Linked DNA regions of Caenorhabditis elegans. The protein of the gene in region 1 interacts with the protein of each later gene in a pairwise test. Each region holds a gene or a part of one and is shown in the gene's direction. Other genes may lie near its edges.

Region 1 (8,634 bases):
GCCATCTTCAACTGCATCAGCTGATTCTGTGCAAGTGGGCGTCCGAACTGTTGGCGATCCAAAGTGTACTGGCGTGCGAGATGGAAGCATTCTTCAGCTGCTCCGAGAGCACCCCACGCGATTCCGAGGCGTGCGTTATTCAGGCATCCGAATGGTCCTTGAAGCCCTTCAGCGTTCGGGAGAAGATTCTCCTCTGGTACTGGAACATCATCCATTGCAATCTGTCCAGTGATCGAGGCTCTCAATGAAAGTTTTCCTTCAATTTTTGGAGTCGTCAGTCCCTTCATTCCACGTTCCAGGATGAATCCCTTGATTTTATTGTTGTGGCGAGCACTTCTCGCCCAAACGACCATCACATCAGAGACAGGGCTGTTGGAGATCCAAGTCTTCGATCCATTCAATTTGTAGGTTTTTGTGGTCTCATCCCAGCTGAAAAACACAAGAGTTTTGAAAATGAATCAAATATTTTCTAGACTTACGTGGCCTTTGTCTCCATTCCTCCTGGATTAGATCCATGATTCGGCTCGGTCAATCCGAAGCATCCGATCTTCTTTCCACTCGCCAAATCGGGAATATATTTCTGCTTCTGATCCTCACTTCCGTAGTTGTAGATCGGTCCGATCACCAGACTCGTTTGCACACTCATCGTAGATCTGTATCCCGAATCGACTCGTTCCACCTCACGAGCGATGAGTCCATAGCCAACAGTTGATGTTCCAGCGCAGCCGTATCCTTGATATGGGGCGCCCAACAGGCCCATACTTCCCATTTCCGGAATCAGGGATGGGTCGAATTCTGGAAATCAAGACTATGGTAAAATTAAATAAGAATTCGGTATGGAGTGTCTCACTTTCAGTTCTGTAAGCTTCTGTGACACGTGGCAAAAGTCGCTCCTGACAGTATTCCCGAGCCGAGAGCATCAAAGATCTTTCGTCTTCAGTGAGCTGATCCGAAAGCTGGAAAGCATCTTGGTAGAACGTCGACGAGAGACCTGAAATATTTGGAGGGTGAGCTCAAGTTTGAGAATAATTTTTTGGGTGTAGTCGAATTTAGACGATATGTAAAAACGATACATCACAAAAATTTCGTTAACGTGAGTTATGGCTTCGAAATAGCGAATAATTCTAAATTTTTTGAACTTCGCGCGCGAACGAGCGCCCTCTGCGTGTACTCCTCTCGGACAATCATATAATTAATATGTTGATTATTGTTTTCGGCTAATTTTAGGTGATTGTTGCGGTTTTTATTGTATTTTTACAGCAGTCTTAATTAAATTCGACTACACCAGCCTTAAATATTAACTGAAACATTAATTACCTCTACTTGCAATCTTGCCAATTGACGTGAATCCTCTGGTCAGCATTTTTGCCGCTGCAAACTGGTAAAGAATGATGATGGTGTGCCCTCATCTCCTTTCTTTCAACGCCCGATATCATCTTTTACCCCCACGTGGCCAAGGACAAGACAATCGATACGATGAGGAGACAGATCAACTGAACACACGAAAATCACAAAACTTTCTTTTGCTTTAATTTAAAAGTTTATTTATCGGAAATGTTGATAAGGAAGCACGAATTAAAATTGAAAGAGGGGGCGGTTGAGGGGGGATACAATTACACCGAGTATCTTGTCAATGAAGGTTTTCATGTCATTAGAATGAGACTTGATAAACGATAAAAAATGCATCTGAATAACTATGGGCAATATGTGTGAGATGGGTAATTAACAATGAAACATGGGTGATAAAAAGAACAACATCCTAATAAAAAATCTCTTAAATACCCGCTTGAAAACATCGAACAAGGCGACTGAATACTGCTAAATCGAATCCAATGGCAATCAAGAGTGATTGTTTACCCGTCTTGGTTCGACTGTAGTTGATTGATAAGCAAGAGAGGGAAAATTGAAAAATGCGATTAGAAGTTCCTCAGAATCACTTCCCGTTGAGTTGGATTGAGTTGTGATGGGAATTCCACGTCAAACTCAATGATTAAATCTCCTCTGTGAGATGGAGACTTTGGATTTGGAAGTCCTTTTCCAGTCAGCCTGAAAGAATTAAAATTAATAATTTACTTCTCGTGAATCTCAAAATTTTTAACCTACCGTCTTGTAGTTCCCGGCTTAATGACATCGTTCAATTGAAGACGGTAGTCTGCTCCATCCAACGTTGGAATCATAATATCAAGGCCAGTCAATGCAGACTTCAGGGAGATCTTTTCGACGCGTTTGATGTCAGATCCCTCTCGCTTGAATTTCGGGTGTGGCTTATCCTTGATGACGAAGACTATGTCGGCGGGAGTTCTGTTCGGGTGCTGATCACCTTCTTTTGGGAATGTGATCTTTGTGCCTGACTTCCATCCTGGTTTAATAGTGACCGTCAAAACTTTGTCTTCTAGGCGTTGAGCATTGTCCGTCATAACTTTTCTTGTAATCTTCATCTTCTTCGTTGTACCTTTCAGTACATCCTCCAAACTGACAGAAAGATCATGGAGCACAGCAGGATCTTGACGAGCATGTCCACGTCTTCCACCTTGATGCATGCCGCCGAACATACCGTCATCCATACCACCTTGATTCATGAAGAACATATTCGGGCCTCCGGCTCCACCACCAAGATCAAACATTCCAGGTCCACCAGCACCGAACGGATCGGATCCTCCAAAGAATGATGAGAAAATGTTCATTGGGTCTCCACGGAATTCGTAGTGCATTCCACCGCCGCCACCACCTCCGGCTCCTGGTCCACCTTCCTTTAGTCCTTCCTCTCCGAATTGATCGTAAATCTTCTTTTTCTTATCATCGGAAAGAACATCGTAAGCTTCGGCAATTTCCTGTAATTAAAAAAAATATTATTTCAGGTTAACATCAATAAATTCCCAGAAAAACTGCAATTTTACTGGGATTTTCTATATTTTGATTAAAATCGTTTTTAAATCGAGTGCTTAAAAATAACAACTTGGTCATGAAAAGTACAGTATCCTTCACCGAGGACCAAAAACTTTTTTTTAAATTAGAAAACTAAATTTTAAAAAATACCTTGAATTTGTTCTCAGCTCCAGCTTCCTTATTCTTATCCGGATGGTATTTCAAAGCCATTTTACGATAAGCCTTTTTGATTTCATCGTCTGTTGCACCTTTGCTGATGCCCAGCACTTTGTAGTAGTCTTTTCCCATTGTGGAAAGTAATCTGAAAAGAAATCATATGAATTTTTGAAATATTAACCAGTAACAGGTTAACGGAATAAATGAAGCAACAGATAGATAAAAAGAATACACCCGGCAGAATAAATATGGGTCAACATCAGAAGAGGAAACACGGAGAAATGGAAGAGAGAGTGCGCCGAATCATGAGAGAGAAGAGTGCGGAACTTTCCAGAGCGTTCTATTTACTCGCGAAGCGCAGTGCATGTTCGATCTTCCGTCGGCCGGTGGAGCGCACATGCATCACTCGTTTTTTTTATTGAAAATACATTGGTTTCGCAAGATAAAAATGAGGAATGAATAAAAGCATGAGCACGATACAAAGAAAAGAATGAGCAAGAGATAAGAAATTGTGCTTTTTGGTATTTATTTTCTGAAAAAAGAATATTCTGGAAGGCGAAGTTTCGTCACGAAAAAATATGTTTGTTGGAAAGAATGATTTACGTACACTAGGAAGAAAAGTTATGCTTAAAATTCACTTGCTTATTTAAAAATTGATTATTTAAAACCTGAATTGTTAAAATTTAAATTATTCGAAGAGAAAATAAAGAGAAAAAATTGTTTCCATGAAATTAGTTTTGTTCTCGTGTATAAACAGCAATCAGATATTATTTTTAGAAAAGATTTTTAGAAAAAACTTTAATAAAACTGTATTGAATTAAACAATTTTAAAAATCAAGCCTCTATCCATAATCCAGAAGGCCTCCTGAACTCTGCGCTCGAAAACCCCTAGGCGCGCCGAAAAAAAATAAATAATGCGAAGAGTACTGTATCAAAGGGACATCAACGGCGCACAGTATGGTCCTGCCACGGAGACATATTTCTGTTTTCCTAAACAAGTTTGTGCGAACCTCCATGCTTTTTCACCGGTCCCAAAGTATTTTCCTCTGATTTTAAAGTATTTTTCGTATAAAAATGTTTCGGCGAACCGAGCCACCGTTCCGATTGTTGGCTAGAAAGCGAAGAAATTCCGATTCGACGCCCCCAATCACGAAGTTCTTTGCAACAGTAAAACGGGAACGTTCAAGCTCTGAATCGAAAAACGTATGCCAGAAGTTGGACGGTACGACAATTTTTCTTTTAATTTAAAATTAATTTTCTTGATTTTCAGAAAGTTTCGAAGCTCCCAACAACTTATCTCAAACCTCTCATACCGATTCACCAGACAATGGGCTTTTGTACTCCTTGGAGGATTTGCGAGCACTTTTAGGTGTTCCTGTCAAATTTTCCTCGAAATGTGTGCCATCTCCAGATGCACCAGTGGGCTTGGAAAACCTGCCGAATAGAGCCTATTCGCATATTTTCACAATTCTTGACAGTTAGTTGTGAAGTACTGATCAGAAATTTTAACATTCACATTTTTCAGTGCAATCCATTAATGCGCTTTCACTGACATCCACAAAGTTGTGCTCACGAGTCAAAACCTACGTTTCAACCCACGATTTTTTCCGTCGAATGCAATTGGATAATCTTGACTTTCTCAATAGCTCACTCCGCCCCGACGATGAAGAATTCTTAGAGAATGATCCTTTCACTGCATGTGGTTAGTGTTGCAATATTTTTATTTTCGTTTATAAATCTAAATGTATTTTAACAGGTGGCCTCATCAAATCCATCACGATCACAATGAACACAAAGATCCGCGCTCAAGTCTTCCTGAACATCTGCCGGAATTTGCGTGATCAACTCGGAGGCTCCCTTCATGGTTTTGGAAGACTCCTGGAAACGATAACGCACAATTGGAAGTTCTCTGAACGTCGTATAATGGTAAAAGCTGCAATCATGATCGACGCTGATCTCCGTCCTTCGATTATCAAGGTTCTTACTGCTAAACCGGGCCAGTTGATAGGTCTCGAGATGAAAGTTCGTTCCGGGTTGACCCAACTCTTCCTCAACTTGAGTCAAGACATCGATGAAGCTTCTCCACAGGAGATTATCGAGTTTGGCTCCTGGTTGTCTGTTCTGATCCGAAACGTAATTGAAAAATATCAGGGAAAGTTCTATTACATCCTATTCGGACCAACAAGATCTTCAAGAATTGGCGAACGCGTCGACTGGGCGTATTTCTGTGAGGACGATTCAGATACCTTCACTTTGCGGAAGAGTGAGCCAAACTATAGGAAATTGCTGTCAACGTTGCTCAATGGAATCCGCGCTCTTCGCATCATGAATAATTCCAAGAGTTCGGACCAAATGTGGAGCGGGAAGAAACTTTATCAGCTTTTCCTCCGGATCATTGGTAATATTTTTTTTTTTAATATTTTTAATTTTTAATAGCTTTTTAATTTTCAGAAGTTTGCGAAGTACAAGGCTTTTGGTCTGAGACCTCATCTTCTATGGCGCTGGCCATTGATTCTTCAGGATTGCTCAGCGAATATCTTGTCACCTGTCTCGATCCTCGCCGCGACGACTATGAAACTCTCCAGAATGAAGCCGCGGAGATGGTGTGTCTCGTACGCAACCATCTTTATCGTTGGTCGGCTGCACCTGCCACGTTTCTCGCCGAACCACTGCACCACGCATTCAATCATCTTGCGCAACTCGATGGTCATTACGGTGAGCGGCGTTCTGTCATCTTTTCGGTGCGAGAAATAACGAATATTATTATTATTACAGACGGTTGCTACAAAGCTTTTCTCGAAAAGATTTGGAACGTTCAAAGTTCACGGTTGAAGGAAATGGTAAAGAACGCGACAAACACAACCGAGTGTTCTGAAAAGATCCGCGAAGAGCTCGACGGTCAGCTCTCAATGGCTCGCCTGTTGACGGATATATCAAACACAGTGGTTCTTCACCAAATAGGCTTCCAGCTTCCAAATGACCTAGCTGCTGAACTCGTCAATGATCCACTAGAAGAAGAGGAGCAGCTGGAATAAATCATGTTTTATCTGTCTAGAAAATTTTGAAAATAGCTTCCAACTGTAGAATTAGTTTTGTTTTTGTTTTCTTTTACTTTTACTTTCACTTTAATTTTAATTTTAATTGTTCAAATTTAAAGCTCCTTTCACTCCTTGTTCCATCTTTCTCATTCTGATAAAATCAGCGAAAACTAATTCACTTTATTGTTTACTACAGGGTTCAGCCCCCTGCCACCATTATTTGCCGGCCACTGGCCTTGAAAAACCTCTTCCATCATCGATTTTCACTCTTAAGAGAGTACTCTTCATTGTTTCGAAAGGTTTTCGTTTAAGCAAAAATGGATCCGGAATTGTTAAGGCAGCGAACTGCTTTCCAGAAGCATGCTGCAACAACGATGGCTGTTCAGAATAAGCCTGTGAGAACTTTAAAAATTAAAAAAATATTGAATTTATCGATTTTTTAAGACAACAGCACCAAATTCACACACAACATACTCTTCAGAAGCAGCAAAAGCGAAAAAGAAGAAAAGCTCTGGACCGGCTCAAAATTTGTCGAAACGTTAGTTGTTAAAATGTAATATTAGTTTCTGAAAACGGAATTTTCAGTCCCAGATTTCAATAATTCCGTGAGCAACGCCAATGCGTTATCAAATGCCACAAATTTCAGTACAATGGCGAAAATTGTGGATTATATGAAGGTATTTATATTTTAAAGCGAAATTTTCGAGTTAAAAACAGTTAATTGCAGAAACGCCACCTAAACAATCAACAATGGCCGTTGACACTTCAAGAAATTCTCGATGAACTTCAAATTTTTGATCTTTCAAAAAGAAGTCTTGCTTTCCTTCAAGAAGCATTACCAAACAATCCTCGACTGATAATGGAATCCGAAAAATTCGCATTTCGACCACCTTACAAAATTAAAGGAAAAACTTCGTTGGTAGCTGTCGCGAGGAAACATTATCAGGACGGAAAAGGTGGAATTCTTGTGTCGGATTTGGCTGAGTGTGTGGCTAATTATGATGCACTACTGCAGGTGGGAATTTGAATAATTTATAACAAAAATAAAGTTTTTATTTTTCAAAAATTTCAGCTAAAAATTAGTAAAATTGATTTTAAAATTATCAGCGGCTTATTTTTCGTAGTAATTAAAATTTGAGTTTGTGATGAATTAGATCTTTTAGAATTTCTGAGTATTCAACAATGTGTTTTTTTTTGATTTTCAAATTGAAATAAATTGAAAATTAAATATATAAATTCACAAAAAAGATAAAATGTGTTGAAAATTTATAAAATAAAATTCAGAAATTACTTTATTTTCAGACTTTTGAACAAATTAACGTTATTTTTCAATTTTTACACGAATAATTTTGATCATTTTCGATCCCATAAGTTAAATATTCCACAAAAAAACATTGAAATCGATAAAAAAAAGGTTTGAAAAAATATATTTAATAAAGTAAAAAAAAATTATTACACTTTTCCAGCATAAAACCTTTTTCCTTAAAAAATTTTCAAAGGAAAAACATTTTTGAAGGCAGAATATTCTCATTATAACTTTTCAAAAACTAGGGTATTTAGGGTTAATTTTGATTAAAAATCAGAATTTTTAAATTTGTCAAACTGAAAAAATCAAAGTATAAAAAAGGAGCAATTTTGTGAAATATTAAATTAAATTTTTCCAGCAAGTATCCTCTGAAGTGATCGTTGTTCCGACACAAGTCAATAAGAAAAAGGATCGAGTCGTCTTCTACAATGACAAAGAATTCACATTCCCAGAGCTCGAAGACGATTTCAAAGCCTTGTGGAGACACGTGTCTGTGGATCATTTGGATGAGAAGAAAATCGAAGAATATCTCCAGAAGAAGGGTCTCGACGCGATGAAGGATCTGACGCCGAAGGTTCGAATGCAGGCTCCACTGAAAAGAAAAGCCGCGAAGAGACGGTTCAATCAAAAAGTACAAAACGAGCATATGGACGGAGTTTTGGAGGATTACGAATGATTTTAATTACACACTTCTGTTAACAGTACATAAAATGAACTATGATCATTTGTATCTCTTCTGTCTCTTTTTCTTATCACTGCCCAGCCGTTTGTTTTCTTATTGTTTTCGGCAAATCGGTCACCTAGCCGAGCTTTGTCTCCTACTATTTCTTTTGAAGTTTCAAGTTATTTTTTGAAAAGTTTCTGAATTCAGATGTTTCTGAAAATCTTGCCACGAATCAGAAGACCAACTAGAAGCTACGCAGCAGTTCTTGCCGCCAGACATGAAGGATTTGCAAAAGTGATGCAGTCGGATTTAATGGCATTTGAGAATTTTCTCGGGCAAGATGCAGTGAAGAAGGACGATATTACAAATCATACTACAGATTGGACAGGCCAATTTAAAGGTATTTGTATTTTAAGATTAGGTTTATTTAATATTAAATAGGTACTTTAAATATTAAATGTTTTAATTTCCAGGTCCTGGCAGTGTCGTCCTCTACCCGAAGAGCACCGAAGAGGTTTCTGCAATATTGGCGTATTGCTCCAAGAACAAATTGGCAGTAGTCCCACAAGGAGGGAATACAGGAC
Region 2 (7,500 bases), on another chromosome or scaffold:
ATCATACGCCAAAAGTCACTGCATTTGTATCTAAAGATGCTTCCGCATTTGTTTTTTGTTTTCTTTAGCTCATTCGACTTTTGAATAATTTTTTTGGAAAACATCTAACTGGAAAGTTTCAGATAAAGACAGAAAGAAAAAAATGTCGGAAAGATTCTGAAAAATCAACAACTATCAAACTGGCTTCAAGGACTGTTGCTCCACCGTTCAGAATGTCGCTTCTCCTGTTCTTCGGGCTTGGACGGGTTTGTTTTGATTTTGTTTTAAATTTTATATGTTTAGTTGAATAGGGATTTTTCTTTAAAGTATTAAAAAATAATCTGAAAAAATCCTTTGTTCCACAAAGACAAGCGAAACAAATCGCGAACGATTGAGCAACTCAATAAGTAAAAATGGGACTTTTGTAAGATTTTCTAATCTTCTCGTCTGAATTTCCACCAAAAAAGAAGCCATGTCCACGCTCCAACCAATCAACATTTCCGAACTCCGTCTCATTGGTTGAGAAGTAGGCGCGGCTAATCACTGATTGGTCTTGTAGGTATCTTTTTGGATGAAATTCAGACAGACGATTAGTCAAAGTTTTATGTGTTTAGTGCTTATACTTGATTTTCATCCCTTCCCGATCGATTTTTTGTTCTTCCTTTGTGGTATATCTGAATTTTAGTTATATATTTCACAACAAAATCTTCATTTTCTATTCCATCTTGAGGGATTAATTAATAAAAAATGTATTCGAAAAAAAAATTAGATTTAAAAACTTAACGTTGTCTAATACGTTCAAGATTATATGCCAAGTTGCCACTAAAATATAATTCCTACTGAACGATAGCACCTGCTCTCGGATGGTGAGTTGAATTTCAATGTCTGAGTTAGCTTGGTAATTTTTGTAAGCAAAGTTTGATGAGACGGAAGAAAATATTCACATTGTGCAATGACTCATGAAACACCACGTGGAATCTTCTCTGCTCTCCAAAAACGTCATCAGTCAGTCCATCAAATTGTCCGAAATCTGGTTGAATCTATCTCCAATCCGAAATGTATCCGCTCGAAGTGATTTTTGCATGACGACTCGGACAGACTTGTCACTCCTTTCTCCGCCTCTTTCTCTTTCCGAGACATCTCTTTCACTTGTATACAAATTCATTTTCCCTCTCTCTTTCTTTCTTCCCAAGGACTCTAGTTTTGCTCCTTTGCACCCTAAATATTATGGGCCGACGGTAGAATACCACGAACATCGAATCATGAGATTGGACGAAGACGATGATGATTTAAAGAAATGTAATGGTGTAAATGAAGAAGATATATTGAAAGCTTTTTTAGAAGAAGACTTTAATTCTCAACATTATGATTCCATATGGGAGGTATTTGTTTTTAAAATTTTCAATTTACCAGTATTCCATAAATGTTCAATAAGATTAAAATCTACTCGATATGAATACTTTCAGTGCCTTCAACACAATCGAAGAGCAATAGCCGTCAATGGATTCATTATAGTCTTTCTGATAATTTACACAACAATTGGAGGATTCATATTTTTAAATTTTGAGTTTGAATACCAGCAATATATGAAACAAAATGCGACACTGGAAAAACGATTGTGTATTGAATCCTTGTTAAATCGGGACAATCGATTACGTCTTACACGGGCTTCTGATGTTGCTGCTGCAATTGCAGAGAGGTGTCTGACAGAAAATGTAAGTTGGATTTTTGTTTTCAAATAAGATAATATAGGCCAGTGAAACACAGTCAAAAAGTCTGAAATATGTAAACTTACAGTACACTTTTCCCATTTGTTAGTAGTTTCAATGGGGAATTTACTCCAACATTCTGAAATATTAGGCAAAAAAAACCAATAATCCAATTTTAAGAACTATAATTCTCTACTCTGATTATAAATCTGAATTTTTACAAAATGAGAACTCCACGACTAATCAGAATTCAACTTAGCCCACAACTGGACCAATCGAATGAAATGGGCAAAATACCTGATTGGTTTGAACGTGGGCGGAGCAAATTGCTGATTGGTCTTGCAGTTCTCATATTGGAGGAATTTAAAACAAGGGTTTTAATAGTTCTATTTTTTTCATAATCCTCATTCACGAAAACGCTGTGAAAAATCAAGTTCCCGTTAAGAAGGATTTTCTAGAAACTTTCAATTTTTTAAAGATGTCGTCGTTGTTGCGGTATGTGCCTGTCAATATTAGTTTAAATTGTTCTGGAGATCACTTTTTTTAGAAATTTGTTTGCAGGTCAAAGACGATCGTATGCAATGGTCATTCAAATCTGCAGCTCTCTACTCTCTTGGAATTTTGACAACTTTGGGTTAGTTTTTGAGTTGAGAAAAGATTCAAATGGGAGTTGAAAGGAAGCGGTCACACACTCGCCAACTGAGTGATGACTTGGACAAATGGATCCTCCTGAGGGATTGAAAAGGCCAAAAAGACAAGACAAAAATGCAAATGTACTTGAGACAAAAGCCTTTTTTCCAGTATTTTGCGGGTAAAAATTTGCTTCTCTGAAAAGGAATATTGAGGGGAAAAGGGAATTAAGTTTTGAGACATTTGTCAAAACAAAACTTTTTTTTCGAAAATTTCAAAATCTGGTTGGAGACACATAATCCACTTCAACTCAATTGTATATAAACATGACTGGGCAAAAAAAAGAACAAATGAGCAGAATCTGAACAATCATAAAGAAAACTGAACTATAGTTTCTTAAAGGACAGGGATGATATAGAAATTTGGCTCTTTCCTGCAAATATCAAGACATTTCTAATCTGAGGGTTTTGGGATTATATTTTTGTTTTCACGCTAATATGTTTCCTATTTTCTACAAAAATCTGGAAAAAGTTGGAGTTGCTCTCATCTATCTTCTTGGAATGTCTGTAAACAAAAACCAAGAAAAGAAAACCCATTACTTTTGTCTGACAATATATTATAGATCAGCAAAAAGTTTTGTTTTAAATAATTTGATCGTCTTTTCCAGATAATAATAATGTGGTTTCATCTACTTTTTTAAATAAAAACAGTTTAATTTCAGGGTATGGAAAAATAGAGCCTCAAACAATCAATGGACGTATTTCAACAGTGATCTACGGATTTTTTGGAATCCCTCTAACTGTCATTCTCTTGACAAATTTTGGAAGATATTTAGAGGCAATGGCAACAAGGTTTAGAAGACTTATTTCATGTAGAAGACGTCGGGAAGATGAAGATGAAAATGTATCTGGAAGTACATTATTTTTTATTGTACTCGTTTATCTTATACTTGGTGCAACAATGATTCCATTGATGAGTGGACAATTTGACTTTTTCAATGGAATTTATTATGCGTTCATTTGCTTGACAGCTATCGAATATGGAGATATTATTCCTCAAAAGTGGGTGTTTTATACAAGAATTATATACTGAAATTTAAATTTGTCTCGTACAAACACTCCACTGCCACAACTTATATTTCTGTCCATTTAACATTTTTCTGATATTTTTTAAAGTTAAAAACAAAATTATAGTAGAAGAACTAATTAAAATTTTATCAGTTGATAAATTTTTGATGGACCTAAAGACAACCGATATATTGGTTACCAAAAAGTGCTATGAGTGTGCAAGACTAATAAAGCTATTATGATACACAACCTTCAGTCGAGAACTACAAACATTTCAAAATTTGAAATTTTTTGCAGCAATTGGTTCTTACCTATCAGTGTTTTCTACATGTGCACGGGACTTGCCATATCAACTATTGCTTTAGGTAAGTCATCAATAAACACCGACCTTCTAATGGTGGAACTTTCAGCTATTTTTCGGTACTAGAAATGCATCTACAGGCCATATAGAGTCTAGAGTACATTTGAATTGAAAAATAATTCGCGGATAGTGGCATAACTTTGCAAAAAACAATTCAGAAACAACTTCAAAAAAGCCCCCAGTTGTCTCACTAAGCAACCAATTTTAGTTTCATATGGCCTTTCTCAGTCAAGAGCGAGTCACGGCAACCTGGTCCAAAACCATTCCCAATTAGTAAATCATAACTAAATAGCTTAATATCATTGCTAATTAGCCTCTTTTTGCTAATTAACGATGTTTTTTTGCTAGTTAGCAATGATTTTGAGCTATTTAGTTATGTTTACTAATTAGGAATGGTTTTGGACCAGGTTGCCGTGACTCGCTCTTGACTGAGTTGAGAAATTTTTGTTGAAAAACATTTCTATAATACAATACTTTATCAAAAGTTAAAAACACATTTTGTTATACGAAGCTCATGAAATAATTCAGACTTAACTTGAAGTCCTTTTAGTAAATTGATTTTTCGCCTTTTTTCTGGAGCATGTTTACATGGTATTCCCGTGGGGACCATTTAATCATATCCAAATATTACAAACAAGAATTTTTTCAGATATTGGATCAATTTATGTTCGAAAGCTACATTTTATTGGCAAAAAAATAAAAAACATTGCCAACATTCGGATTTGGTTCGGTGCCAGGAAGTGGGTTTGGCAAAGGAGACGTAAATTGTTTCATTTGGTTCTAAAACTTTTAGCTACGATTTGTTTCTATAACAACGTTCTCTATTTTTGTCAAAAAGCTTTTAATTAAAGAAAATAATTGTATCGCTAATATTTTTAGTTTGGAAGTACGAGAACTCATCACAGCAGTTGGACAGAATATTGGAATTGATCAGAATGTGATAGCAGACATAGATATTGATACATTGGTTAAAACAGCAATTCAAGTGAAATTGGGAAGACTTTCAAGAGTTCCTCAAACACATATGATTGTTGAGGGAATATGGCCTCCAGAACTTGTTCCTCTTTTTATGAAAGTGAGATATTTGAAACTTTATAGTATTCGAAGAAAATAATGTTTCAGGATGGTCAATTCCCACTTTTTGTCGATTCGGAAGATGATCTCACTGATATGAGGCCTAAGAAATTTTCAGTTCATTTTGAAGATGAACCAATGATGTCTGAAATAGAGGATACATCTGATTCTGAAACAGCTGCTGATAAATCACAAACCACATCGTCCCGATTGTCTCCAATTCCACGCCGAAGAGCAATGCAAGCCAAATTGAATGGTTCAACTGGTATGTTATCTAGAATTGAAGTGAATGGGAATTTTTAACGAAATCAATTTCAGACTCAGATCAAGCTTGCCACGACGGCGTTATGAATGTTTCAACAACTATCACCTCTGATCTTTCTACAGATGCATAGCATTTTGTTTTTTCTTCTTTTCTTAAATCTCAAATAAATACTTTTTAAAAATTTCTTTAAAAAAATAGACATAAACAAAACATATATAACTTTTCCCAGCTACATTATTACATTTTACAGCATTATTATTTTTGTGAAGTCGGTAGATCGAATATTTAAAATTGATAATACAATTTTATTATATAAAACTCAATTTTATTTACTATCTCTCGAAGAAACTGCGCCCGCAGAAGGAATTCAATTTCTTTAAAGTTTTCAAAAAGTTACGGTAAACTATTCCGTAAACACCGCGACATAAAAATGCACACTTTCTCTTTCCTAATTTTATATAAAATTTATAATTTTAGTTTTCTTCGAGAAAGAAACAAACAATCGTCACTTGCTTTTCGAAGAGTTGTTCATTCAACGACTTTCTTTTTTGTCTTCAAATATTTTTTGTTGCGATTTCTATTTCTTGTGAATCGTCTCAATGTATAGATGGATGATTGAAGCTTGAGTATTTAAATTATCCAGAATTGAAATGTTTTCACATACAGGTGTGCTTGATTGTTTTGTAGTTTGAGCATCAACCAAATTCGAAATATATTCAAATACAATTTTTCTGGCTAAAATTTTTCGATGACTACCAATAAGTAGCAGATTTTTATTGACGTTGAGAATTCATTCCAGTATCTTTTTCCTGTATTCTCAATCATTCTTCTTATTATTTTAGTTATAGTTTTTCTATTTTGCAGATATTCTGATAGAATTCCAACGAAACCATTGCTTTGTTTTTTCCGCGTGGTTTTTGTACACTTCTCTCGTTAGTGACCCTGTCACAACTAATTTTAATTCCAGTCAACTACAACACGATGGCTGACCAAAAGGAAGCATCCGAAGCAGCAAAGAACCGCGAAATCAAGATCTCGTCTTCGGATGATGAAATCTTCTTGGTAAGCTGAAATTCGTTTGTTATTGTCATTTTTATCTGAAAAACTAGGCTTCGGGTCGATAAGACGCTTTCGCAGTTCTTATAGAAAATGTTTAGTAGCCTAGTTGATTTTTAATAAATCAACAAAAAAAGCGGCACTGTACGCTAGATGGCATGGGAAAAATTGCAATCTGAACTTCCAGGTCCCACGCAATGTGATCCGTCTCTCAAACACTCTCAACACTCTTCTTGTGGACCTCGGGCTCGACGACGATGAAGGAACCAACGCTGAGCCAATTCCAGTGCAAAACGTCACTGCCTCGATTTTGAAGAAGGTTATCAACTGGTGCACCAAACACCAGTCCGACCCAATTCCAACTGAAGACAGTGAGAAGAAAACGGATGGTTCCATCCAAGACTGGGACAAAAAATTTCTCGATATTGACCAAGGAACCCTTTTCGAGCTCATTTTGGTAACTTGTTATTTTAGTTGCAATATTTTAAATTCCTATTTTCAGGCTGCCAACTATTTGGACATCAAAGGACTTCTTGATGTCGCCTGCCAGTCTGTCGCCAACATGATCAAGGGAAAATCTCCAGATGAAATTCGTCGTGCTTTCAACATCAAGGACGACTTCACTGCAGAGGAGAGAGAGCAAATCCGTAAGGAAAACGCCTGGTGCGATGATTAAATCTCCATCTTTTCCCCTGTTAAACTTTCAATTACCTTGTTTTCTAAATGTTTCACATCATCCACCATATCTTTCCCCTTATTAAACGCACTTTTTAATTGTTAACAAATTTCTTCACTGCCAGCTGACACAACTGTGTACAGTTCTGTTTTTCATTCAATAAAGTTGATGTGAACATGAAAATTGCAAACAATGCAATTGGTTTTAAAGCCACAGCAATAGTATTTTTTAGTCTGAACAGGACTATAGATCCTTCACTTTTGAAATGGAAGATGACGAGATGTGAAATTCTAGGCCAAAGTTGCTTCGTTTTCCGCGCGCGTAGATTTCGAAATAAATAAAAAAACAATACTTTTCTCAGTTTTAAAAGCTACGGATCGTGTGAATGAAAATTACTTTCTGTGATTAATTGCGAATGGGGTTATTCAAGTAATGTATTTACATGACTTTATCGCATATTGCGCCTGACGCTGCTAAATCCCCGCATTTAACTGAAAGTTGCGATATCTTTAAAACGAGATCTATTTTTTCCATTTCTTTCATTTTTTTTTTCCTGATATTCTCCTTTTTCTATCTATCAAAAATCGAGTGCCGATATTCGCTGAAAAGACTATATTATGTACGCCGTCCGCTCTCTTTTTAATTTTATATAATTAAAAAACATTATCTCTGAATATCTGCAA

What was found.
Region 2: the proteins of F54D5.9 (region 1) and skr-2 interact in a two-hybrid assay, tested with the Caenorhabditis elegans proteins (3 studies listed by BioGRID).

What each region holds. Positions count from the first base shown.
Region 1 is NC_003280.10:11,540,254-11,548,887, reverse strand, and holds F54D5.9 (F-box domain-containing protein), read left to right. Parts: upstream 1-4,059; 5' UTR 4,060-4,116; coding exon 4,117-4,264; intron 4,265-4,312; coding exon 4,313-4,519; intron 4,520-4,567; coding exon 4,568-4,744; intron 4,745-4,798; coding exon 4,799-5,440; intron 5,441-5,493; coding exon 5,494-5,757; intron 5,758-5,817; coding exon 5,818-6,077; 3' UTR 6,078-6,252; downstream 6,253-8,634. Other genes in the region: F54D5.7 (putative glutaryl-CoA dehydrogenase, mitochondrial), read right to left, coding at 1-429, 480-795, 851-991, 1,318-1,363; dnj-13 (DnaJ homolog subfamily B member 13), read right to left, coding at 1,917-2,046, 2,104-2,831, 3,037-3,174; gtf-2E2 (Transcription initiation factor IIE subunit beta), read left to right, coding at 6,398-6,475, 6,525-6,618, 6,666-6,757, 6,808-7,095, 7,745-8,062; dhgd-1 (D-2-hydroxyglutarate dehydrogenase, mitochondrial), read left to right, coding at 8,258-8,450, 8,524-8,634.
Region 2 is NC_003279.8:9,463,638-9,471,137, forward strand, and holds skr-2 (Skp1-related protein), read left to right. Parts: upstream 1-6,016; 5' UTR 6,017-6,066; coding exon 6,067-6,147; intron 6,148-6,328; coding exon 6,329-6,598; intron 6,599-6,643; coding exon 6,644-6,817; 3' UTR 6,818-7,000; downstream 7,001-7,500. Other genes in the region: twk-29 (Potassium channel domain-containing protein), read left to right, coding at 1,242-1,361, 1,446-1,694, 2,250-2,322, 3,040-3,379, 3,683-3,750, 4,396-4,486, 4,626-4,821, 4,869-5,085 and 1 more.